Canis lupus familiaris: one gene and its partners. The protein of the gene in region 2 interacts with the protein of the main gene of each other region in a biochemical or structural test. Links are inferred from orthologs where the notes say so. Each region holds a gene or a part of one and is shown on either strand. Other genes may lie near its edges.

Region 1 (7,389 bases), on a different chromosome or scaffold from region 2:
TATTTCAAACATGTGCAGAAGTAGAAAGGACATTCATAGGAAAATGCTATTTTTAAAGGTAAAAAAAGCAAAATGTCACTTGATGTATGAAGAGTAGAAGTTGTAAGCCTATTACCTTGAGATAACATTTTAGATGTTCTTATGCACACGTACTGTACATAGTTATAATTCTATAGAGCATACCTTTTTTTTTTAAGATTTTTTATTTATTTACTCATGAGATAGAGAGAGAGAGGCAGAGACACAGGCAGAGGGAGAAGCAGGCTCCATGCAGGGAGCCTGATGTAGGACACGATCTGGGGTCTCCAGGATCATGCCCTGGGCTGAAGGCGGCACTAAACTGCTGAGCCACCTGGGCTGCCCTAGAGCATACCATTTTATGGACTTTATCCTCTGACATTAGGAAAAGAAGTATAGGGCAGCCCCCGTGGCGCAGCGGTTTAGCGCCGCCTGCAGCCCAGGGCGTGATCCTGGAGACTCGGGATCGAGTCCCATGTCGGGCTCCCTGCATGGTGCCTGCTTCTCCCTCTGCCTGTGTCTCTGCCTCTCTCTCTAGCTGTGTCTCTATGAATAAATAAATTTAAAAAAAAAAAAAGGAAAATAAGTATATTTTATTCTCTAGTCTTTGAATAGTTTTCAGTGGTTTTATACCATGAATAATTACTGATTTGTTGAACATGTTGCTTCCTTTTTAAAAAAATAATTGTAAGTAAAATAGCAGTGTGATTGAGTTATCTTGAAAGGTTATTTTTGTTTTGCTTTTTTGATTAGGAATCTCTGCATTTATTTTCTGGTGTATGGGAATCGTGGTTATTTGGGAAGTTAGCTTTATGAAGGAGAAATAGCTCCAGTCTGTGTAATAATACCAAGTCTCTTTTACCTGGGCTCAAGGTAAACAAGCTCTGTCAGTACCTGGTGCATGAGAATGGGACTATGCTAGACATCCTGGGACTCTCCGTGACATTACTGTCTAGACCTGAGCTTATTTAAATATAAATTAGGGAAGCCTGGGTGGCTCAGTGGTTGAGCTTTTGGCCCAGGGCATGATCCTGGAGTCCCAGGATCGAGTCCCACATCGGGCTCCCTGCGTAGAGCCTGCTTCTCTTTCTGTTATATTTGTAGGGTTTTCTAAAGCAGAAGATGACAAACATTGGCTGCCTGGTTTTGTATATAAAGTTTTATTGAAACACATCCATATCCATTTGTGGGTGCTTTTGTGCTACAGTGGTAGAGCTAAATGTTGAATACATGCAACAGAGTCCAGATGTTGCCCACAAAGTCTAATTTACTCTGGCCATTTATGAAAAAGTCAGTCAATCCCTTTTCTCTAGACCAGGATTTCTCAGCTTCAGCACTATTGAATTTTGGTCCAAGTAATTAGGTGTTGTAAAGGGCTCTCCTGTGCATTGTAGGATGTTTAACAACATCACTGCCTCTATCCACAACGGCTGGTACACCACCTGTCCCCTTTCCCCATCCAGGTGTGACAACTAAAAATCTTTCCAGACATTATAGGATGTCTGCTGGGGAGCAAAATCACCCCTGGCTAAGAATCACTAAGCTAAATTGATGTGGCTTGACCAAACATTCATTTATAATACTGCATAAAAGTGCTCACTCTAAAGGGGAAAAAATATGTTAAGAGAGCAGAATAAATAAAAGAATAGTTTTATGCTGCTATACTCTAGCATTCCTTCCAGAAACAGAAATTTTTCTATAAAACATGATAGAGTAACTGGACTAGGGCAGAGAGCTGGAAGCACTAAGATTCCACAGTTTACCGTCTGCTGAGCAGCAAATAGAATGGAAGTTATAGCATCTCTGAAGTGATGGGAACATGTAGTTTATTTTACAGGTTTGCAAGGCCTATTTCCTTTATAAAACACTATATGACGGCAGAGTTCTTGTTGACTCTGCTGTGTGTGTAAATGTTATCCGTGTATACCCAGCACCTTGTGCTGCATCTGGCAAGAAGGGAGTTAGTAAATGTTTATTAAAATGATTGTCAATAAATTCAATAAATTGGTACTTCTCTGTCTTATTATCTATGATTTTAAGTGGCCTATGTAGATTCCTACTTTCATTAGCCAGAAGAATTTAAAAACCGGTTCTATTTACCTCCATTGAAGGTGATGAGAATTGAATTAAACATCAGGCCTATAAAATTGTGTTCTTCTGAGATCTGGTGCTTGAATACTTTTCAGAGTGGGGATTTTCAAATTTGTAGAAAGAGGCAATATTAAGAGACTACCCATTTTGTAAGGATATAGAGTGGTAGAGTTTTGGGGTACACATTTTAATTAAATGATGTATGTACTATTTCTGAATTCTTGGTTTAAAACATGGAGTGAATTCAAATTGGGATGATTGCCTTTGAAAGTGGAGTATCAGGTATACCTTTATTTGGTTCTTTAAATTAAAATTAAATATTAAATTTTAAAATTGGTATCAAAAGGAATATGTTATAGAGATCACATGTAATGGAGCACACTTTTATGGAACACTTTCATGTGGTTGATTATTTCAGAAGATAAGCGGTTTTGACTACTGAACTCAAGTGAATTTTAGGTGACTTGTTTTTTTCCATGCATGACATATTTCTGTTTGTTTTTCAGATCTTACCAATATATTTGAGTCCTTCCTGCCCCAGTTGTTGGCCTATCCCAACCCCATAGATCCTCTCAATGGTGATGCTGCAGCCATGTATCTCCACCGACCAGAAGAATACAAGCAGAAAATTAAAGGTAAGAAGGCAAATAGTTTAACCTGGAGACAGAAAAACTTACATGTACTGGGCTTTCATCATTAAAAGCCCTTCTTAGTTACTAATAATTTTTCTCAGGCCTTTAAAGAGACCACTGTCTGTGGGCTGGAGCGGAGCTCACTGGCCCCTGAATGTCCCAGCAAGGAAGAGGAGAAGGAGCGAGAAAGAGCAAAAGGAAAGATGAGAAAATGGGAGACACCTGTTGGGTGGTGGTACATGTAACCCTGCCGGAAATCCCCATGGACCTCTGTACAAAAGAATCTTAGCCTCCATTTGTTTCCTCTTGTCCTATAAAATTAGAAAATTGGATTCGAGAATGAAATATTAATTGAAGGGCATAATCTCACATTTGTTTACAGATAGTATCATCCTGGCCTTTCAGAAAAGCAGTTAACTTTGGAAGTTGGGAAATGCCAAATTTATCCTTATACTTTTTTTATTGTATCATTTTACCTGTTGAATTAAGAATACCCAGCTGGCTTCTTTTCTTGGCCCCATACTGATTTTCTTTTACTTTGGAAAGTTTACATCTGGGCACATTTATCTGCTGTAGATACCTAGCCCCAGGGCCCAGCTTTCTAGTAAAACGTGAAATGTACTGTTCAAAGTTAGAAGTGTGCTGGTAGTAGTAGTGCTAGTTTGTCCATCCTTTAGGATTTAGAATCCTACTATTTTCTCATTCTTAAATAGTTTACCTGCTAATGAGACATAAAGTTCATTAAAATGAACTTTTGGTTTCAAGAGAACATCTGTAGCTTCACCCTGGCTTACTGGTGTTCATTTTTATTCTGCATGCTTGAGATCCTTCATAGTGAAAAGTCTAGATAAAGTTCCACCAGAAAGGAAAGGAATTCAGAGTCCATGAAAGTAGGTCTGCTCTTCTTACCAAGTGACAGGCATTGGTATTTACCTAATTTTTAGCATGACTTCTGCCAATTGTGTGGCCCCTCTGGGGCCCATCTGCGGGAGATGGCAGTAGGAATAATTTACGAGCGCCTGGAATATATAGGTCTTCCCTCTTAACTGTGCTGGTATGAGACAGGCACATCTCACGCTTTCCTTTTGTTTTCTCATTCTCCCCTGATCTTTGTAGGGTACTGTTTGGCGCTTCTGTTGAGATAAAATAGAAATAAATCTACTCTAATTAATTTACTTAAGTCTCAGGTATTTTGCAAATTAATACCTAATTTATGTAGCAGAATATCTGTATAGCCAAACAAGTATTTCAAAGGAAAAAAAGTCCATTTCAACCAGATAAAGTTCTATTATGAGACTGTGTTAAAATTGTGACACAAACATCACTTAACAGTATCTGCAGCCCACAGATACCTCATTGCAGAGCGTATTTCTCTAGTTCTTACATTCATTGTGCCTCAGCAACATGATTCTTGTTTTAGTACATATCTGCTCTAGCACCAATTACAAAAGGAATCCAATCTACATTTTTTTAAAGATTTTATTTATTTATTAGAGAGCACGCACACGTAAGCAGGGCGGGGTGGGGCGGGGAGGATAGAGGGAGAGAGAAGCAGACTCCCCAGTGGGCAAGGAGCCAGATGCGGGGCTGGATCCCAGGACCCTGAGATCATGTGTGACCTGAGCCAACCAGGCACCCTATGTTTTTATTTTAGAATGGCAAGCTCTAGCTTAGGGAATTTGAGCTTCCTGAAATGTCAGTGTTGGCTATCATTTTGTCTTCCTGCGTAATGTGAAAATCAGGGCTGATTGCTTAAACACGCTCCCCTGGCCCCCAGCCTGAGGTTGTTCTCCCAGTTCTCCTGCACCCAGCCTGTCAGAGGCATCCCTGCTTCAGAAGCCTGTGTCTGCTCCCATGGACCTCTTGAGGAGTCCTGTTCTTTATTTCCTGTCATTTTCAAACTCCTCACTTCCTTGCCCTAAACTCCTGAGGTCTAGTTTGTTTTCCCTCCTCCTGTGTTCTCATTTCTTCCTAATCATATGCACCCTGCTCAAGAACCATTTTCCAGACTTCTCTGCAGCCTTGCTATTTTGCCCCTTCCCTTCCTGAAAACCTTTCTCATTCCATTCCCAAACATGGTCAATGGTCATTCTTTTAAGATTCAGTCATTTAACCCACCCTCACTCTCCCTCCCCACTTGGGGAGCTGATTCACCCTTCACAGCTACCTCCAGGTAGGTGATTTCCAAAAATGTGTCTAGATGGGCCTTCTCTCCCAGGCTGCTACCAGACATTTCCACGCTTGGTAACCTTTCTTACTGTGGATTTTAGTCAATGTTCATATATAGTTGATTTTTTAAATTGTGTAAGTATGAGCTGCCTGTAGGATAGGACACTTGCCTGCTTAGAAACCTTTACTGAGTGACATCTTAGCCTGCCATTCATGGCTCTCTCTCACTGTGTGGTGAGCTCCATCTTTGCCTTTACTCCTAAATGTATCACTATGTGACCATCAAATTGGATGAGTTTGCCAACTATATTCCCTTCCTTAGGGAAAGTTGCAACCCTACAAAAACAAACAAACAACAACAAAAAAAACCCAGAAAATAACTTAACCATATGCTCACCATCTAACTACAGCAAGACCTATACATTTTGCCTTATTTGTTTCAGATATAAACATAGTTCTCAGTGTTGTTTTAACCTCCCGGCCATGGCCTTCTCCCTTGTGCTTTTGGCAAGGCTGTGCATTCCCCTGGAGTGGCATGTCCTATGCTGCAGCTAAGAATTCCTTCCAGGGTCAGGTCAGGTGTGCCTGGCTTCCTGGCTCTCAGAGGCCAGGGTCCCTTCCTCCACACTTCCCTCCGGTGGCACTAACTGCTTTTATCTGCATCTGTGTCTCCTGCTCATTAGTGACCTTGCTCTTTATTCTTCTATCTCCTAAAAACCCTTGTCCTAGTAAGCTTAGCACTTAAGACCTATTTATTTCCTCAAATATACTAAAGAGGACTAATAGTATCACCTTATAGCGTCAGAGAGAAATATCAAAGTGCAGCAGCTTTCTACAAATGCAGGGACATAGCTGACCCAGTAGAGGGTAAAAATAACATTTCTAAGACTGTAATAAACATTTCTCTCTCTTTGAAGAATAAATTCAGGTAAGTTCTTACCTAATCAGAAGCTTTTAGAACCTCATCTCCACATAAAACTTTATTATAATGAGTTTGTAGGGTTCTAAGAAGTCTACAAACTTTTTCTCTAAAGGGCCAGATTTGGCCACAAATAGAGTCTCTGTCACATATTCTTTCCTCCCCCTCCCCCCCCCTTTTTTTAAACAACCCTTTAGGGACTCCTGGATAGCTCGGTTGAGCATCTGACTTCAGCTCAGGTCATGATCCCAGGGTTCTGGAATTGAGTCCCACATTGGGCTCCCTGCTCAATGGGGAGTCTGTTTCTCCCTCTCCCCCTGCCACTCCCCCCACCATTCATGCTTGCTCACTCTCTTTCTCTCAAGTAAATAAATAAAATCTTTAAAAATAAATAACCCGAGACTCCTGGGTGACTCAGTGGTTGGACGTCTGCCTTTGGCTCAGGGCGTGATCCCAGAGTCCCCAGGATTGAGTCCCATGTCGGGCTCCCTGCGTGGAGCCTGCTTCTCCCTCTGCCTCTCTCTCTGCCTCTCTGTGTCTATTATGAATGGGTAAATAAAATCTTTAAAAAAAAAAAACAAAAAACAGGGACGCCTGGGTGGCTCAGTGGTTGAGCATCTGCCTTCGGCTCAGGTTGTGATCCTGGGGTCCGGGAATCCAGTCCCACACTGGGCTCCCTGCATGGAGCCTGCTTCTTCCTCTGCCCGTGTCTCTGCCTCTCTCTGTGTGTCTCATGAATAAATAAATAAAATCTTCTAAAAAATATAACCCTTTAAACATAAAAAAGATTCTTAGCTAGCCCCTGTGTGACATCATTCAAACTTGGCAGGCCCCTTTGACCATGTTCCTCATCTTTGGCATTTGGCCCCTGTGATTCCATAGGAGAAGAAACAAAACGTAAGGACCGGCGTGTTTCCCCCCTTCTGGCGCTCTGGATAGGGTCTGTCTTACCTTTTCATATTGTGTGTGTGTGTAGGCTATTTACTTAAGAACAGTGTGCACTTAGAGTTTTTAGGAACAAGTTTGTTTGTTCAGCAGTTCTTAAAATTCTCTCTCAGCCTAGGCTATAGATGCATAAATCTTCAGGTAAATAATAGATGATCAAGTCACTTGGGCTCACTGTGTCTCCAGATAGCAGCTCATTCCTGAGCAGATTGAGAGACTGTTTTCACCAGCTGCTTCAAAAACCTGACAGGCAGGATCTGTTTAGACTAAAATCTTTTCCTAAAATAATAGATTTGGGCTGACTGTAATTATATAACTGCAAGTCTAAAAATGATGGGGGATTTCCTTATAAATTACTATGGAATCATAACTAGTCCTGCTCTACCTGGGAGGTGAATAGTTCTATTAACAGAGAGAGAAAAAGAAAGGATGGGGTTTGCACTTCCCCAGTCCTGCAAGGTTGGAGGAATGCAGCCACATGGATAGGCAACAAGGCAAGAGTGAGGGTGCCCACGCAGCAGGAGGGGAGGCCAGTCAACACCAGACACTGCCCGGGGTGGGTCGGCTGCCTTGTACACATCCACCTGGGAGGTGCTCACACACCTGGGAGGTGAT
Region 2 (7,976 bases):
GGGTTTCTCAGGGTTCTGGTAAAAAGCTCTAGTAGCTTCCTGAGACTTTCAATATCCTGAGGGTAAAATCTGTAGTCATTTGTGTTGTCAGTTGCTCTGATCCAAAAGAATAATAAAACTTATCTCTTCCTCAGGGGCCTAAATGATGATAGCCTGTACAAGGTTCCTAGGTTAAGCCCAAAGGTGCCAGGAAGCCTGGGGTAGCTTCCTAAATGGGCCAACAGGCAACATGTAAGAGCCTCGTGTTTAAGAAGAAATGAGCTTCAGAACCTGGAGACAAGCCCAAAGACTTGTCATATTTAGAGTTTACTCATGCTTTTGAAATGCAATTCATTGTTTATCTAGACACTGCTTTGGGATTTAACATTATTAGAAGGAATGGGAGGTTCAGTTCATAAATACAACTTTTGTATGTAAATACAAGAATGCTCTGCTTTTTCTCCCCAAAGTCTGCATTTTCCTAGGATTTTGATCAAGCACATGAGAGTTAATCTATATTTCATCAACGAGACTTAATAAGACCATCTTTCATATTAATCAATTATAAGATCATCAAGATGATAGAGCTGTGCTGTCCTATGTTTTTTTTTTTTAAGACTTATTTATTTATTTATTCATGAGAGACACAGACTGAGAGAGGCAGAGACACAGGCAGAGGGAGAAGCAGACTCCATGCAGGGAGCCTGATGGGGGACTTGATCCTGGATCCCGGGATCACGACCTGAGGCAAAGGCAGGTGCCCAACCGCTGAGCCACCCAGGAGTCCCCACTGTCCTATTTGATAGCTACTATAAATATGCAGCTCTTGAGCACGTGCAATGAGGCTAGTCTAAAATGAGATGTACTCTAAGTATAATATACATACCTGTTTTCAAAGACTTAGTATGAAAGAATGTAAAATATTTCATTAATAATTTTTTAAAAGTAAGCTCTACGCCCAACATGGTGCTTGAATTTATGACTCCGAGATCCAGAGTCGTATGGTTTACCCACTGAGCCAGCCAGGCACCCCGCATTAATAATTTTCATATTGGTTACATGTCAAATGATAATATTTTGGATACATTGGGTTAAATGAAATATATTCTTGAAATAGAAAACAAAAACAAAAGGAAAAACCCAAAGATTTGAGCTGAGGTGTGTAGGGAGCTACCTGGCTCCTGCGGAGATTTAGTTATTTGCCAAAGAGTTGGAGTGAGAAGATCTTTAAGCAGGGGAGTGGAACAGGTGCTTTCTTCTCTTTGATAAGCAGGGAAAGGAAGTCTCCCTTGTTGCTCACCTCTAGGGTGTCTGGCTACCCTCATGGGGCAGTTAACTTGGCTCTCATCCTATCATCCTAGGGCACAGGGAGCCAGATGTTTACTATTTGCTAGGAGAGATGGAATAAGTCTGTCTTTGATCCAGAACACCTCGTGTGCACATTTGGGATAAAATTAATAAAAGTGAACATCAAAACCCAAGAGAGGCAAAAAAAGAGTCCAAAGAGGGAGATTATCACTGAAACCTAAGCAGAACCTCAGAATGTGATGGAGGGAGGGAGAAATGGACAAATCCAGTGAAAGGCTAAGAAAATGTGTCTGAGAGGCCAAAAGAGAAGAACCCAGTGAGCTTGTGTGTTTATTCATTCACTGAGTATTTTTTGGGCACCTGCAGTGTGCTCATGCTTTATTCTAAATTGGAGACAAGCAGTGTACAAAATTTATATTCTGGTAGGAGAGATCAGTAAAAAAAAAAAAGCAATAAGTAAAATATTGCTTGTCAGATGTTAATAAATGTTATAGGGAAAATAGAGCAGGGAAAGGAGATGTGAGAGTTAAAATCAGGGAGTTAGGAAAAGCCTCACTGAAAAGGTGACCCCGGGTAAAGATTGGAGGGAGAATAGGATGGGAACCATGTTTGAAGGAGTGTTCCAGGTGCTGGGGGGGGGGGTGGTGATGGGGGGGGAGGACAAGTCTGAAGGCCAAGGCTGGAGTTGGAGTGAGCAGGTGGGGAGGGCTGAGAGGAGAATGAGCTCAGCTTCAGCAGGGACTCGTAGGCCACAGTGCTGAGGACTTTGGTTTTCATCCTGAATACAGTTTAAACTGAGATTTGAAGTCTAAGCGTGTAAAAGCCCAAAGCTCTCAGGGCAGAATCAGCTTCTGGGCTACAGGCTATGGGTTCAGTCCCTTCATTTATTCGTCTGTCCCTCTATCACTCATTTCCCAAGCACTTAGGGAGGCCCACTTTGCCCCAGGGCCTGTGCTGGGCACTGGAGAGACCTTCCCCTCAACTTTGGGAGGCAGAAAACCTTTCAGAGTGGGCTGAGGTCCTGTCCGCCTGCAGGTGGAGCTGGTACTGTCAGTGTGACCTGGGAGAGCCATAAACTTGGGGAATAAGTGGGTGACAAGCTGGGGAAGGGCCACAGGCAGGGAAGGGGGAGGCTGGGGAATCCGTGGAGGTGGGGTGAGGGAGAAAGGAGAGACTCTTCCTAAACGTTTCTGTCTTTTCTGTGGTATGGGAGGCCCTGTCTTCCCGCTTGTTGTGATTTCTGGCTCCAGGCTGAGCAAGGGAGGGGACAGTGCGATGGGCCAGGACAGGTGGCCTTGACATGTGATGCTTGCCCGCTGACCACTCAGTCTTCACTTTTAGAACGGTTTCCAGAAGTGATGGCAAAGTGTGGGCAGGACAACTAAATATAGTCCTGGGGCCAGGGCTCAGTCTGGGAGGGTCTATCTACTATTCACTCTGTGCTTCCACCCGTGGTGTCCACTGCTGGCTTCGCCTGTGAGTCCCCTGCCCTTGCTCTGAGCTTGCTGCTTGTCCTTTGCCTGTCTTCCCTAAGGCTAGGCTTGACCTTGAGTGGGCCTCCTGGGAGTCTCTTTTTGCCCAAGATCTCCAAACAGCCCTGTGAGTCCTGTGGGTCCTGTGGCCCTGGAGATGTGGGGGAGGGGAGGCCTGGGGATCCTGGAGAGGTAGGAGGGTAGCTGGTGGGGGCTCTGGGGAATTTGGGGCAGGGGCTGCGGCCTGAGGCTGAGCTAAGGGAAAGTCAGTGGTTAAGACCACACCCTGGACTCGTGTTTAGGAACTGGGTATGAGACAAGGTCCCCGTTAGCCACTATTTTGGGGGCTGGGGCTGAGAAATGCAGCTGATACTTCTTTGGGGATGGAAACCGAGTCCCCCTTTCCTCTTGGCCAGAACCAGAGCCCCTTTCTGTCTGAGACTTGACGTCTTTATAGGCTGGGGATCCTCCCAATCTGGTCTGGCCCGGGGCTAGTTCGTGGCTCCGCTGAGCCTCCCTGACGGGCCTCTCCTCCACCCAGGTCCATCATGTCGGCCGCGCCGGGCCTCCTGCACCAGGAGCTGTCCTGCCCGCTCTGCCTGCAGCTGTTTGACGCGCCGGTGACCGCCGAGTGCGGCCACAGTTTCTGCCGCGCCTGCCTGAGCCGCGTGGCTGGGGAGCCGGCGGCGGACGGCACCGTGCCCTGCCCGTGCTGCCAGGCACTCACGCGGCCACAGGCGCTCAGCACCAACCAGCAGCTGGCGCGCCTGGTGGAGGGGCTGGCGCAGGTGCCGCAGGGCCACTGCGAGGAGCACCTAGACCCGCTCAGCATCTACTGCGAGCAGGATCGAGCGCTCGTGTGCGGCGTGTGCGCCTCGCTCGGCTCGCACCGCGGCCACCGCCTGCTGCCCGCCGCCGAAGCCCACGCGCGCCTCAAGGTGCGGGGATCGCGGCCTCCGGCGGAGCGGGGGGCGGTGGGACCGGATTGTTGGCCGCAGCGGGGTCGGGCCGCTCTTGGGGTCGCCGCGTTGACCTGGATTCGGAGCTTCTGGGCCCGGGGCGCCTGGAGGAGCGGGGAACTCCAGGGGGCGGGGCGAGGCCGCTCGGGAATGGGGACTGGCCCCGGAAGGCGGAGTCTGGCGGAGAGGCGAGCCTGGAACCGGCACTCAGGGGCGGGCGCTGGGGAACCCGAGCGGCCGGGGATGCGGGGGCCGCGGCCTCCGGGCAGAGCGCGCTGAGCCGGGAGGAGAACGCGTGCCTGCGGCCGGGGCGCGGGCGGGCAGCTGGGCGGAGGCTCCGGAGGCTGGGACTAGAGGGGTGGCGTTTGGGGTCGGGCGGCCGCCAGGCTGCTTCGCTGAGGTCCACGTTCTGCTCCGAGCCGCAGAACTTGCTTGTGTAGGCCCGAGGGGCACGTCCAGCGGGGAGGGCAAGGCCGGCCTGGCGACGCACCTCCGTGAGCATGCCCAGGTTGGCACCGCGACCCAGAGCCAGGCTGCTTTTCTGGATGGGGCTGGAAGTCTGGAACGCTTCCAGAGCCCACACACAGTTGTGCGCACCCCAAGGTTCGTGGTTCCCACGGGGGCCCAGAAGAGACACCCAGGCATTAGCAAATAGAGACGCAGACACACGCCGGCTCGCCCAGGTCAGACGTGTGGCAAATCACACGCAGTTGCTGCAGGAGAGTATGAGTCTAACACAGGCCCAGGAAGGTCCATCAGGGAAAATTTGTTGGGCTTCGGAACAATAAACGACAGGTGTGGGGGCGGGAGGAGGCGGGCTCTAGAGGGGGGGGGGGCTGAGGACTAGCCCCCGGGGTGGAGCTGCCCCCCTCTTCTCGCGAATAGGTGGGTTGTGCTTCAGCGGGTTATCTTTACCCAGGAACATCAGCGTTGCCCTGCTCTTCTGCTTGCCCCCCTCCCCTCTAAAGAGGGCATGTCCCTGTCCTCAAGCTGGTATTTGAGGCCCCCGGACCGGACTCCCCCCACAGGGACACAGCCTCAGCGACCCTCCCCCTCCTGCCTTGCCCAGTCCTGCCTAGGCCAGTTGGTGGTCTCCTAGACCAGTGTAGGAGCTTCCTCTTCCCAGGAGCTTTCCCAACCCAGGCTCACCTATGCTGGTAACCCCAGAACTCCCAATCTGGTCCCGAGAGAGAGAGAGAGAATGAGAGAGAGAGAGAGAGAGAGAGAGAGATCTGCGAAGAGGGAATAGAGTCTATGACATGGAACAGAGCACCAGGTGACCCAGGAGCCTTGAGGGGGCAGGTGGGGCGGGATACTTTCTGCCAGGATCTGCATTAGTCCAATCCTAAACCGCAGGGAGGCGCCGGCAGGAATTCTGAAGAAGGGACCCAAGGAAGGATCTGAAGGAGGAGACAGGAAGGCTGGGGCGCGGCTGAATGCCTGGGTCCTTGGCCACGAAGAAGGGGGCTGGGTCCAGAGACTGTGCACCAGGACTCAAGCAAGAGTGGTCGAACGGGATCTGCCGGGGGCGGGGGACGGACGTGACCGCCTGAAACCTGCATGCCAATGACGCGCAGCAGACTGCTTTGGGGTCCCAGGCATAGTGGGTTGGGGGCTGCCGTAGCGGCCCCCGCGCAACATTCTGAGAGCCTTTGTGCAGCGGCTCCCCCCCAGCTTCAGTTTGAACTTCTGGAGCTCATCTGTGGTCAAGTCGTTCCCCGCCGCGCCCCCTTCCCCAGCCCCCGCGCAGCCAGGAAGGCGTCACGCTTCTTCCTCATGGCTTAGTCCTGTCGCCCCAGAACCTCTGACGGCTCCATGCTGAGAACCACCAGGTCTGCCCTGTTCTGCAGCAGGCCGGGCGTGGCCCCGGAGAACGTCCCAGGAAGGAGCGTGACCTGGGGGCTGGCCAGGGGGCCATGAGCCCAGTGGTGCAATCCTGGGGCTTCCGCTCATCCCCAGAGCCTAGAGGGTCTCTCAGTTTCCCTTAGGGGAGTGGGGGGGAGGCCGCGGATTTGTCACACCACCAATGAAGTGAGGCAGACTGCTCCCATCCTGCAAAAGAGGAAGCTGAGGTTGGAAGGCACAGGGGCGGGACTGGAACCCTCCGATCCCTTTCCCCTGCAAAGGGGTGGCTTTGTCAAGAGCTCTTAGGAGTCTCCCTACACCTGCATTTCAGGATTCACAAACTGACAGGCCCAGGGTAGGATCCAGCCCACAAGTGTGTTTGGTGACATAGCAGACATCCCTTCCCTTCCCTTCCCTTCCCTTCCCTTCCCTTCCCTTCCCTTCCCTTCCCTTCCCTTCCCTTCCCTTCCCTTCCCTTCCCTTCCCTTCCCTTCCCTTCCCTTCCCTTCCCTTCCTTCTTTCTTCTTTCCTTTCTTCTTTTCTTTCTTTTCTTTTTTTGTAAGCTTTACCTCCAACCTGGGCTGGAACTCACCACCCAGAGTTCAAGAATCGCGCGCTCTATGGACTGAGCCAGCCAGGTGCCCCAACACAGCAGACATTATTAAATGGCCTGCCCCCACAGCCCTTGGGTGTGCAGGAAGGTTGACTGGGGTGTTTTGCTATGGTTCTGCCTTTTTCTTTTTTTTAAGATTTTGAGAGAGAGAGAGAGAGAAGGAGAAAGAGAGAGAGAGAGAGATTATGAACAGAGGGGGAAGGGCAGAGGGAGAAGCAGACTTTCTGCTGAGCAGGGATCCCAGTGTGGGACTTGGATCCCAGGACCCTGACCCTAACCTGAGCCGGAGGCAGACTTAACCACCCAGGCACTCTATGGTTCTGCTTTTAAGGATGGGGTAAAGCCCAGGGAGAGGAGGAGGTTGCATTTCTTCTTCATACATTCTACACTCACCCAGAGAGGCCTGCTGTGTGCCAGTGCTGTACCTCTCTGCTGGAGGACACCAAAGCACATTTGTGTTTGTCACTGTCACAAAGACCTGTGCCAGGGGTGCTAACTGCTGAGGGCATGGGACTGGGAAGGGAAGCCAGGGAGGACTTCCCTAAATAGACAATGGGAGGGTAAGGCATGCTAGACATTAGGACTAGTGTGAGCAAGGGCCTGGAGATCTGCACATGAGTTTGGGGAATGCTGAGATGCTCACCTGGCTGTAGGGGGAGCTGGCATTGAGGCTGAGCCAGAGAGGGTAAGTTTGGGGTGGGAGGTGTGGGGAAGGATCAGCCCCATCACCTTTTTGTACCTCACCCCCCCAGACACAGCTGCCACAGCAGAAACTGCAGCTGCAGGAGGCATGTATGCGCAAGGAGAAGAGTGTGGCTCTGCTGGAGCATCAGCTCATGGAAGTGGAGGTGAGGGGCTCAGCACAGCAGGGCCTGGGTACTGGGCATGGGGCTGGGGGGCTCGCTCAGCTCAGTCCTTTTGCCTGTCTGCTCCCACAGGAGATGGTGCGTCAGTTCCGGGGGGCTGTAGGGGAGCAGCTGGGCAAGATGCGGGTGTTCCTGGCTGCACTGGAGGGCTCCTTGGACCGTGAGGCAGAGCGCGTGCGGGGAGAGGCAGGGGTTGCCCTGCGGCGGGAGCTGGGGAGCCTGAACTCTTACCTGGAGCAGTTGCGTCAGATGGAGAAGGTGCTGGAGGAGGTGGCCGACAAGCCACAGACTGAGTTCCTCATGGTGAGCACTTGGATGACCTTCCCTCTCTGCTTCTCAGCCAGGGTTCAGGGGGTCTCTAGAGACCCCATCCCATTGTCAGACATGGACTTTGACATCCAGAGAGGGACAGGGACTAGGCCAGGTCGCACATCGAGGGAGACTGGGCCCCATGACTGCTGTTATGGTTGTTTAGGTTGTGCAGTTTAGGACAGTGCACAAGGACACTGAATCTAAGTGGCACCATTCATGTCACAGACGTTGTAGGTTTGTATGTTTATTCGGACAGTCCTTCTACCAGGTGGAATTGGTCTCTTGAGGAAAGGGGGTACATTTATATAGTTCACACAGAGATAAAGGGCTAGGGTTGGCTTTACATTCTGGGTTTATTTTTGCTTTTCTGATTCTTTCTGGCCCCACACTTAGCATCCCCTGTGGTCCACCCATCCTCAGAAGTTCTCACTGTCTCCCCTCCCTGCCTCACCTCCATTTCTTTCTCTCTCTTTCCAGAAATACTGCCTGGTGACCAGCAGGTGAGATCAACGTGGTCTACCCCTTTTCCCAACTTTCTGTAGTCTTCAGGGACACTGGCTGGCTCACCCTCTAATCCCAGACAGCCTGTACACCCCTATTCTGTCCACCACAATCTCCCTGC
Region 3 (7,981 bases), on a different chromosome or scaffold from region 2:
AACTGTGCGCGCGCACACACACACACGCAATTTTTAAGATGCAAACAAAAGCACAGTCACTTCCCAGGAGAGAAATGGCATGATTTTAGGGACAAAGTGTTGCAGGGGGACTTTGATTTTTTCCTCTCCAGGTTTTTGTAAATTTTTTTGCAATGAGCATGCATTACTTGTTATTTTAATTAAAAACCCATAAATAGGGTCCCGTTGCAAAACATAAGCCAACATATGTATTCTTTTTTTTTTTTAGAAGATTTATTTATTTTAGAGAGAGAGAGAGAGAGAGCAGATATGCATATGCAGCGAGGAGGGGGGCAGGGGGAGAAGGAAAGAATCTCAAGCAGACTACCCGCTGAGCAGGGAGCCCGCACCGAGGCTCGATCTCACGACCCTGAGATGATGCTCTGAGCAAATCAAGAGTCTGACCCTCAACTGACTGAGCCACCTAGGCGCCCCTCACGGATGTATTCTTTTTTAGGACTTTATTTATTTAATAGGGAGAGAGCACAGGCAGGCAGAACAGCAGGCAGAGGGAGAGGGAGAAGCAGGCTCCCCGCAGAGCAGAAGCGGAGCTCAATCCCAGGACAGTGGGATCATGACCTGAACCGAGGGCAGAAGCTTAATGGACTGAACCACCCAGGCGCCCCTAATGTATGTACTCTTAATAGAAAGTAACACCAGGGGTCTTGAAAGAAAATCGCACAGCAGACACCACTTTCTTTTGAGTTCTAGACACAAAGCCGACAGCGAGGGATCCTCATTCAACGCCAAGATGACTGTGCAAATAAATAAATCTTGATACCATAGACACAGCTAAGGAGGGGACATCATGGTATTTTCTCCCCGTTGGAACCCATATGTTCAGAGAGCGTACATGTCTCTGTAAAGGGGAACACGCCACAGCATCCCCAAGCATTCGTGATGCACTCATGTCATACCAGGGGCCACGCAAGCGATTAGGCATGTCATCATGATCCTCAAAGAGTCTGTCATAAATCAGGAGTCCCAAAACTCTCCCCGAGAAGGGCCAAGATATACACATTTCTATGGGCCATGCAATTGCAACTACTCAACTCTGCCATTAGGGCACAAAAGCAACTGTTAAGATGATGCCAATAAAACTTTATTCACAAAACCAGGTGTGGGCAGGCGGGAGTTGGCCTGTGGGCCACAGTTTGATAGCCCCTGTTCTAGATGAAGGAGTCTGACTACGTAAATTCACAACTGGGCTGAGAGTGGATGGCAGTAGGGATTGGCCCTCTAGGAAGAAAGAGCTAACATCTGAGCCCAGGGAAGGGAGCAGAGAGGATGGAGAGAGAGCCAGGTGCAGGTGAAAACTCTGCAGGAAACCGTGCCTTCCTGCCCTCCCCGAGGGGAGGGAGTGGACAGTGGCAGGCCCCGAGAGGTCAGCTGGGGTGAGGCGACAGGAGACGCACTTGGGAGGTGAGGGATTACCTTCACAAGAGCCATGGGCAAAGCAAAGCGATGGAGACATTAGCCAGATGCTGCGGGCAGCACAGTGGGCCAGAGGTGAGAGGGAGGGTGGTTAGAGCCCACCGGGGAGGCTTGGCAGGGGAAGGCTGGAGGCGGGTGGTGGGCCGGGGGTCGAGGGGCGGGGTATTGATCCTGGAACAAAGAGAGCAGGGACCCAGGTGGGTAAGTGTCCTAGACAAAGAAAAAGTTATCTTCCTGAATGTGGCTGTTCTCAACTGGGGCGGCTGGCAATGCCCAGAGACACTCTTGATTGTCATGACTGGAGGGAGGGACGTGCTACTGGCATTTTGTGGGTGGAGAAGCCAGGGATGCGGCTCCACTCCTCACAATACACAGGACAGCCAGCCCCCCCACAACCGGGAACTGTCTCAACCCAAATATTAAGAGCGATGAAGTTGAGAGGATCTACTCTATCCAGGTTGAGTCACTGACGGAGTGGGCTGCAGTGGGGACCCCAGGGAGCCCCACCCCAATGACCTCCATGAGTGAGTGGGACAAGGATGGCGGGCAGGGCTCCAGGAGGGAAGCAAAAGTTAAGAATAACCTCAGGGAGGTTAGGAAGTAGGCAAAAGTCCTGCTCCGAGGGCCCCCAAAGCACACAAGAGGACACACAAGAGAGACATCCGAGGCCACCCTTGTGAAATGAGGAGTGCCCGAGAAACCAGGGCGCTCTGGAAGCGAGCCTCTCTCACCTTAATTAGCCAACTCGCTGGACTCCCCCCGAAGCCCCGCAGGTTTTTCTTTTAATTAATCCCACATTGCCTTCATCCTTTAACTTTGCAATGCCCCCAAGTAATCTCAGGCCACTGCCAGCCAGTCCGAGGAGAAACAGAGGGGGGAGACACTACCCATTTCAGCAGAGCAGTAGGGACTCCACAGGAGAGCGGGCCAAAGTAGCACATCCCATAGGACATCCCCCCCTAAGAAAGTCCTTCACTTCTTAAACATCACACCGCCACCACCCCAACCAAAACGCCCTACAGGCTGACATTAGAGATTAATGATCTGTAAAGTTTCTCGAGGTTTCCGAACCTCTGAGGGGCATCACATCTCATTTATTCAATAGGATTTTGTTAACCATTACCACAGGTCGGTGGGAGGGAAGCTCAAACCCAAGAGAGCCACCTTTTATGAAGAAATCAGGCCAAGTAGGGTCCTCAGCAGCTCTGCCGCCTAGTCAAACTGCCTCACCTGGGAAAAATGATAATAAACCCCACCCCACAAGGCCATGGTGGGGATTAACTAAGATTATATATTCGGAGCACATGGAAAAGCCCCCGCCAAGAGCTTGCTCTTATGACTATGTCTAAGTTGGGTATTACCCGAGGAATGAAAAAGCCATAGCTTGGAGTACTGGTGAGAACACGAAGAATATGAGCTGAACCAAGAACAAATATTTTAACCAAACACCTTCTATGTGCCAGGCACTGTTCTAGGCTCTGGAAACATCGCAGTGGACAAAAGAAGTATATGCCTCTACCCCTGTGGAAACTGTGAACATGTAAAGAAGCGGTAAATCCACCTCCTGGGCCCTGCAAGCCCAGGCACAAGTCCACAATAAATTACCAAAGCTACAAGGAACAGAAGAGCAGGGAACCACACACACACATGCACGTGTGCAGACGCACGCACATACATACATACACAAATCCTAGACTAGTCCTAACATTTGTCTGGAGTTTCTTAACAAGAACTCAAGCCGACTGCCACCTTTATTGAGCGCCCGCTGTATACCAAGCACTTGGGCCTCGGAACCGTGGTGTAACTGAGAGAGGAGCTCCGCAAACCTGGATTGTCAACGCCAGAGCCTGTGCGTGCTTTGCCAGGGACCTCATTCCCCATCAGGGAGCTCAGGAGCTGCTTTCCTTCCCTCCCCGACCCCTTCCTCACCATGACTGATTTCCTTTTATGGACAATTCTGAAAAAGTAACCCAACAGATATTTTTAAAGTGGGGCCTCAAACACCAGTGGGGAACTCCAGCCATGTTCTCTTAAAGGTTCTTCATTTCTTGCCCCACAAGCAGAAAGGACGGCTACCAAGCCCAAGGCCGATGCTGGAGTTGGGGTTTGCCTCCATCTGCTGCCAGCGCAGGGAGGCTGGGGAGGGAAGTCCATGGGGCTAGGGGGTGTGAGAGCCTCTCCTGAGGTTAGAGACCTCCCTGGACTGGCAGGTAAAAGAGCCCTTGTGAAAGGCAGAGCTGGAGGGGGGGGTGTGGGGGTTATGGGGAGACATAGGACATGCAGCAGTCCAGAGCCTCCCCAGGGCACCACACAGAGAGGTTAGAGTCCTCCCTCTGGCCCTGACTTTAGGGCAAATCGAACCGTCTCCTAACCTCAGCCTCAATTTACTCCTCTATGAAATGGGTAACGCGTATGGACCTCCGGAGGCCACTGTGAAGGTCCAGAGAGATCAGTCCGGGGCATTCGGTGACCCTAACTATAATAATCATAATAAAGACAACACCCCCCCCCCCGCCCCCTTCTGCTACAACAAAGGCCCTGTTGCCAAGGCGCTAGAGTTTGCCTCCGGACATCTGGAAACAGAACCCAAAAGTGTAAACATGGATCTGAAGTCCGGGTAGCCACCGGCCTAGGTCCAAGCAGAGGGGTGGGATTCTGCAGTGCCCCGCCTGGGGCGCCCATCCGCAGAGACCCCGAGGGACCCCGTGCGCCCGCGGCATGCGGTGCCCCCAGGTCGCCCGGACCCGGGGACCCAGCGGGCACCCGGGTCGCGTCTCCCGGGCGAGCGGGGCTTGGAGAGGGCCGGGCACGGGTGCGAGGCGCGTCGGGAGGGGCGCCCGCGGCGGGGCGGGCACTGGGGCAAGGTTCCTCGGGGCCGGGGCCCGCACGCGGGGCGCAGAACCGCGAGCCCAGGCGGGCAAAGGCCAAGGTCAGCGGCTTCCCGCCGCGGCCGCCCGCGCCCCCACACGCGCCGGGGAGGGCGCGGGGTCCCCGGTGGCCCCCCACGCGCCCGCCCGCCGCCCTCCGGGGCCCCCGGACTCACCCTCTCCGGGGTACAGGTGGCCCGCGGCACCCAGCAGCAGCGCGGCCACCGCCAGCAGCAGCGGCGCGGCGGCCGCCCCCCGCCCGGCCCGGGCGCCCATGGCTGCGGGAGCGCGGGGTCCCGGCGGCTCAGAGCGCGCGGCGCCGGCCCGCGGGGGTCATGCTCTGCGGCGCGGGGCGCGCGCCCTCCTCTCCGCGCCCGCGGCCCCGCCCGGGAGGGCCCCCACTCGGCCCCCGAGGGGCGCGGGGCCTCGGCCGCTGCAGATCCCGCGGCGGCGGCGGCGGCGGCGGCGGCGGCGGCGGCGGCGGCGGCGGCGGCCCCGACCCGGACCCCTGCGGCCCGGGGCCCGTCCCGCGATCTCAGGGCCCGGAGCCCCTCGCTGCGCCCCGGCCGCCCGGCTCTCCGCCCCGAGCGCGCTGGGCCGCGATCTGCGGACGCCGAGACAGACGGACGCGCGGACGGACAGACGCGCGGACGGGCGGGCACCTGGGCTGGCGAGCGGCGGGCGGGCGGCGGGAGCGAGGGCTGCTCGGCCCGTAAACAACGCGGCCCGTCAGCTGGGCCCCGCGCGGGTCGCGGGAAAAGGCGGCGCGGATCGAGACTCGGAAGGGACTCGGCGCCCGGGAGAGGCCCGGGAGAGGCCCGGGAGGGGGAGGCAGGACGGCCGCGGGGAGGCGCCGCCCCGCCCGCCGCCCTCGCCTGGGCCCCCCGCGCTGGAGGCGCCCGCACCCCGCCCCCCGCGCCCCGCGCCCCGGCGTCTCGGGCCTCGGGGGCGCCCCCGATGCCGACCCATCCGGACGGATCCCTTCCGTAACATTTTTCGCTATTTCGTTTCCCTTGTGGACTTTGGGAGGTTCGGTTTGATTTTTTTTTTTTTTTTTTAAGATTTCATTAAAACGCTGTTTATCTTGGTCCCTGGGGTTTCTGGTACTCCCGTAAATGTTGCACTCGCGTCACCCTCGTCCCAGTCCTGCCAGCGCGTCTCGGACTAGACGCGAGGGCGCCCCCGCCCCGCGCCCGGGGCCCTGCGGACGGCCACGTGCACGCGCGCCCAGGGCGCTCCGTGTGCTCCGTGGCAGGGGCGAGGGAGGGGGGCCTCAGGCGCGGCCTGGGGTGCAAGTCGGAGAAGAGACACCTGGGACAACGTGCAGAACCTCGCAGAAGAGCGAACCAGGCCCCACGGAGCCGGGTTCCAGCGCAGGTGGACACACCCCGTTTTCAACACACAGACCCACAGTCCCTGTGTGTGTCTGAATGTCCAGCAAGTGTCATTCACGAATAGGGCACCATAGCAGCCAAGCCACCTTCCTGAGCTGGGGGAAGGAGCCTTAGGTATAGAAAGCCAGCACCGAGTGGAATCTGGCTCCCCCTCCCCTCACTTCCTGTGTGGCCTTGGACGTGGGACTTTACTCTCTGGCTGGGTTGGCCTCGGCTCTATAATGCCTGTAACAATCCCTGCCGGTCCGATTTGACGAGGTGCAAGAGCAATAAAGCATAAGAAAGCGCCCGGCACAATTCTAGGCAGAGGGCGCTCATTCTTCCCCCTGGTCCATTACGCAAATATTAGTTAGCCAGGAGCTGAGCCCACTGTTCCTCTAAGGCACCAAACCTAATCCTGCCTCCTGGCTTTCACTCTGGCTGTTCCCTCCGCCTGTCCCTCCAGTGGCTGGCTGCCCCTCGGTGCCCCAGTGAGCCTTCCCTGATCACACTTTGCAAACGCCGCCTCCCCCCCCCCCCCATCCCTTTGTTCTGGTCCCTGTTATTTACATCACTCTAGTTTGTCCTGAAATTCTTTGGGTTTTTTGTGTATGGTCTCCCCACTCCATGAAGCAGAAATTCTTCACTATTTTACACCCAGCGCCTGATATATCTGTTGCTTAATAAATATTTGTTGAATGGAAGAACCAACATGCAATAATAAGTAATGAGGATTTACAGTGAGCAAAATAAACACACTCAGTTTCCCTGTAGACCTCACAGTCTGGCGAGAGAGGGGATCCTTGATTAAACAATCCTGGGGCCTAATGTGGGGTGGGGGTGGGGCGTAGGGAAAGGATCCTCCCAAGGAGGTGAGTTGAAGCTGAAATCTGGAGATGAGGAGGAGTCAGCCAAGGAAGACAGGAGGGAAGTGTTACAGGCTGGGAGCCCAGCATGAGCAGGGGCCCAGAGGTGGACAGGCAGGTGTTCCCCCAACTGACCCAGGCACTGGAGCTGGAGCCTAGAGGGAGGTCAAGCAAGCAAAGGTGGACTCAAAGGCAGAATTAGAAGGGGGAAGAGCCTTGGATAGATCATGTTAAGCCCTCTCCCAAAACACCTTCATCCTAAAAGCAATGGGAAGCTACTAGAAGGTGTACACAAAAGGGCTGACATAATTTGATTTTCTTTCCAATAATATCTGCGATGGGGCAAACATAGACCCAGAGAGAACACAGAGTAGCTGCAGTCCCAGAGTATCAAGAATTGTAGGTTCAATAAATGTTGTTCCCCTTCCTTCTTGTGCAAACCTGTCCAGAGCTGTGGGCTTCCCTCTGACCCGTGGGAGCCCCCAAAATCACCACATTCCCAGGCAGGAAGCGTGTGCTGAAAACCACGCGGAAGGAAACACGCTGTCCTCTGGAAATCCTTCAGGACAAGGACTTGCGTGCTGGACCTAAGTCGAAAGAATCATTTCGACTGATCATTTCAGTTGTGACCTGAAAATGAAGACACCACCACTTCCTGAAACCACTCACTGTTTCTTTCGCAAAACCCTCCAAGCCCTCCAAAAAAACAGCCATCTAAAAATTGAAAGTCAACCCTTGCCTTTTATTAAAATCATTGGAACAGAAGCAGAGACACCACCATTTGGCAATCTCTGACTGATTGATTCGGGCGAGAACCCTCTGTGCATGCCAAAACTAACGGTTGGACTTTTAAGAAGCAAATATTTCCACGGTCTCCAAGTATCTCTCTGCAAGATACTTGCTCATAATAAAGGAAAGGAAAAACAGTAGCTTCCTAGAGGAGAAAGCTGGCGGACATCACCTTAAATTAAGTGATCAAAGTTGCTTCTGGATTTCCTTTTGCCGTGTAAGACATTTCCGGGACAATTGGGGAAGACTTAAAAGGTCCATCAATTATATTACTAGAGTATTGAATTAGTATTGAATCAATAGTAATTTGATCGTCGTGCAGAGATGGTGTGAGAGAACGTCTTTGGTTTTAGGAACTACATACTGAATGAAATATGGAGGGATAAAGGGCAGAATGTCTGCAACCGGCTTTCAAATCATTTTGAAAAAAAAAAAAAAGAGAGAGAGAAAGAACAAAGTAGATGTGATCAAGTTTGATAAAATTTGTATATCTGGGGCACCTGCGTGGCTCAGTGGTTGAGCATCTGCCTTGGGCTCAGGTCATGATCCCGGGGTCCTGGAATCCAGTCCTGCATCGAGTTCCCTGCAGGGGACCTGCGTCTCCTCCTGCCTATGTCTCTACCTCTCACTCTGT

What was found.
Region 1: the proteins of TRIM72 (region 2) and UBE2H form a complex in vitro, tested with the Homo sapiens proteins (2 studies listed by BioGRID). The link is inferred for Canis lupus familiaris from reciprocal best matches to the Homo sapiens genes TRIM72 and UBE2H.
Region 3: the proteins of TRIM72 (region 2) and INSR form a complex in vitro, tested with the Homo sapiens proteins (2 studies listed by BioGRID). The link is inferred for Canis lupus familiaris from reciprocal best matches to the Homo sapiens genes TRIM72 and INSR.

Annotation. Positions count from the first base shown.
Region 1 is NC_049235.1:6,862,799-6,870,187, forward strand, and holds part of UBE2H (ubiquitin-conjugating enzyme E2 H), read left to right. Parts: intron 1-2,615; coding exon 2,616-2,744; intron 2,745-2,842; coding exon of another isoform or gene 2,843-2,850; exon of another isoform or gene 2,851-3,092; intron 3,093-7,389. UniProt on the Homo sapiens protein: Accepts ubiquitin from the E1 complex and catalyzes its covalent attachment to other proteins. E2 ubiquitin conjugating enzyme that transfers ubiquitin to MAEA, a core component of the CTLH E3 ubiquitin-protein ligase complex.
Region 2 is NC_049227.1:17,196,494-17,204,469, reverse strand, and holds the start of TRIM72 (tripartite motif-containing protein 72), read left to right. Parts: upstream 1-2,616; 5' UTR 2,617-2,763; exon of another isoform or gene 2,764-2,886; intron 2,887-3,300; 5' UTR 3,301-3,307; coding exon 3,308-3,697; intron 3,698-6,928; coding exon 6,929-7,024; intron 7,025-7,114; coding exon 7,115-7,345; intron 7,346-7,831; coding exon 7,832-7,854; intron 7,855-7,976. UniProt on the Homo sapiens protein: Muscle-specific E3 ubiquitin-protein ligase that plays a central role in cell membrane repair by nucleating the assembly of the repair machinery at injury sites.
Region 3 is NC_049241.1:52,555,709-52,563,689, forward strand, and holds the start of INSR (insulin receptor), read right to left. Parts: upstream 4,576-7,981; 5' UTR 4,496-4,575; intron 1-4,495. UniProt on the Homo sapiens protein: Receptor tyrosine kinase which mediates the pleiotropic actions of insulin.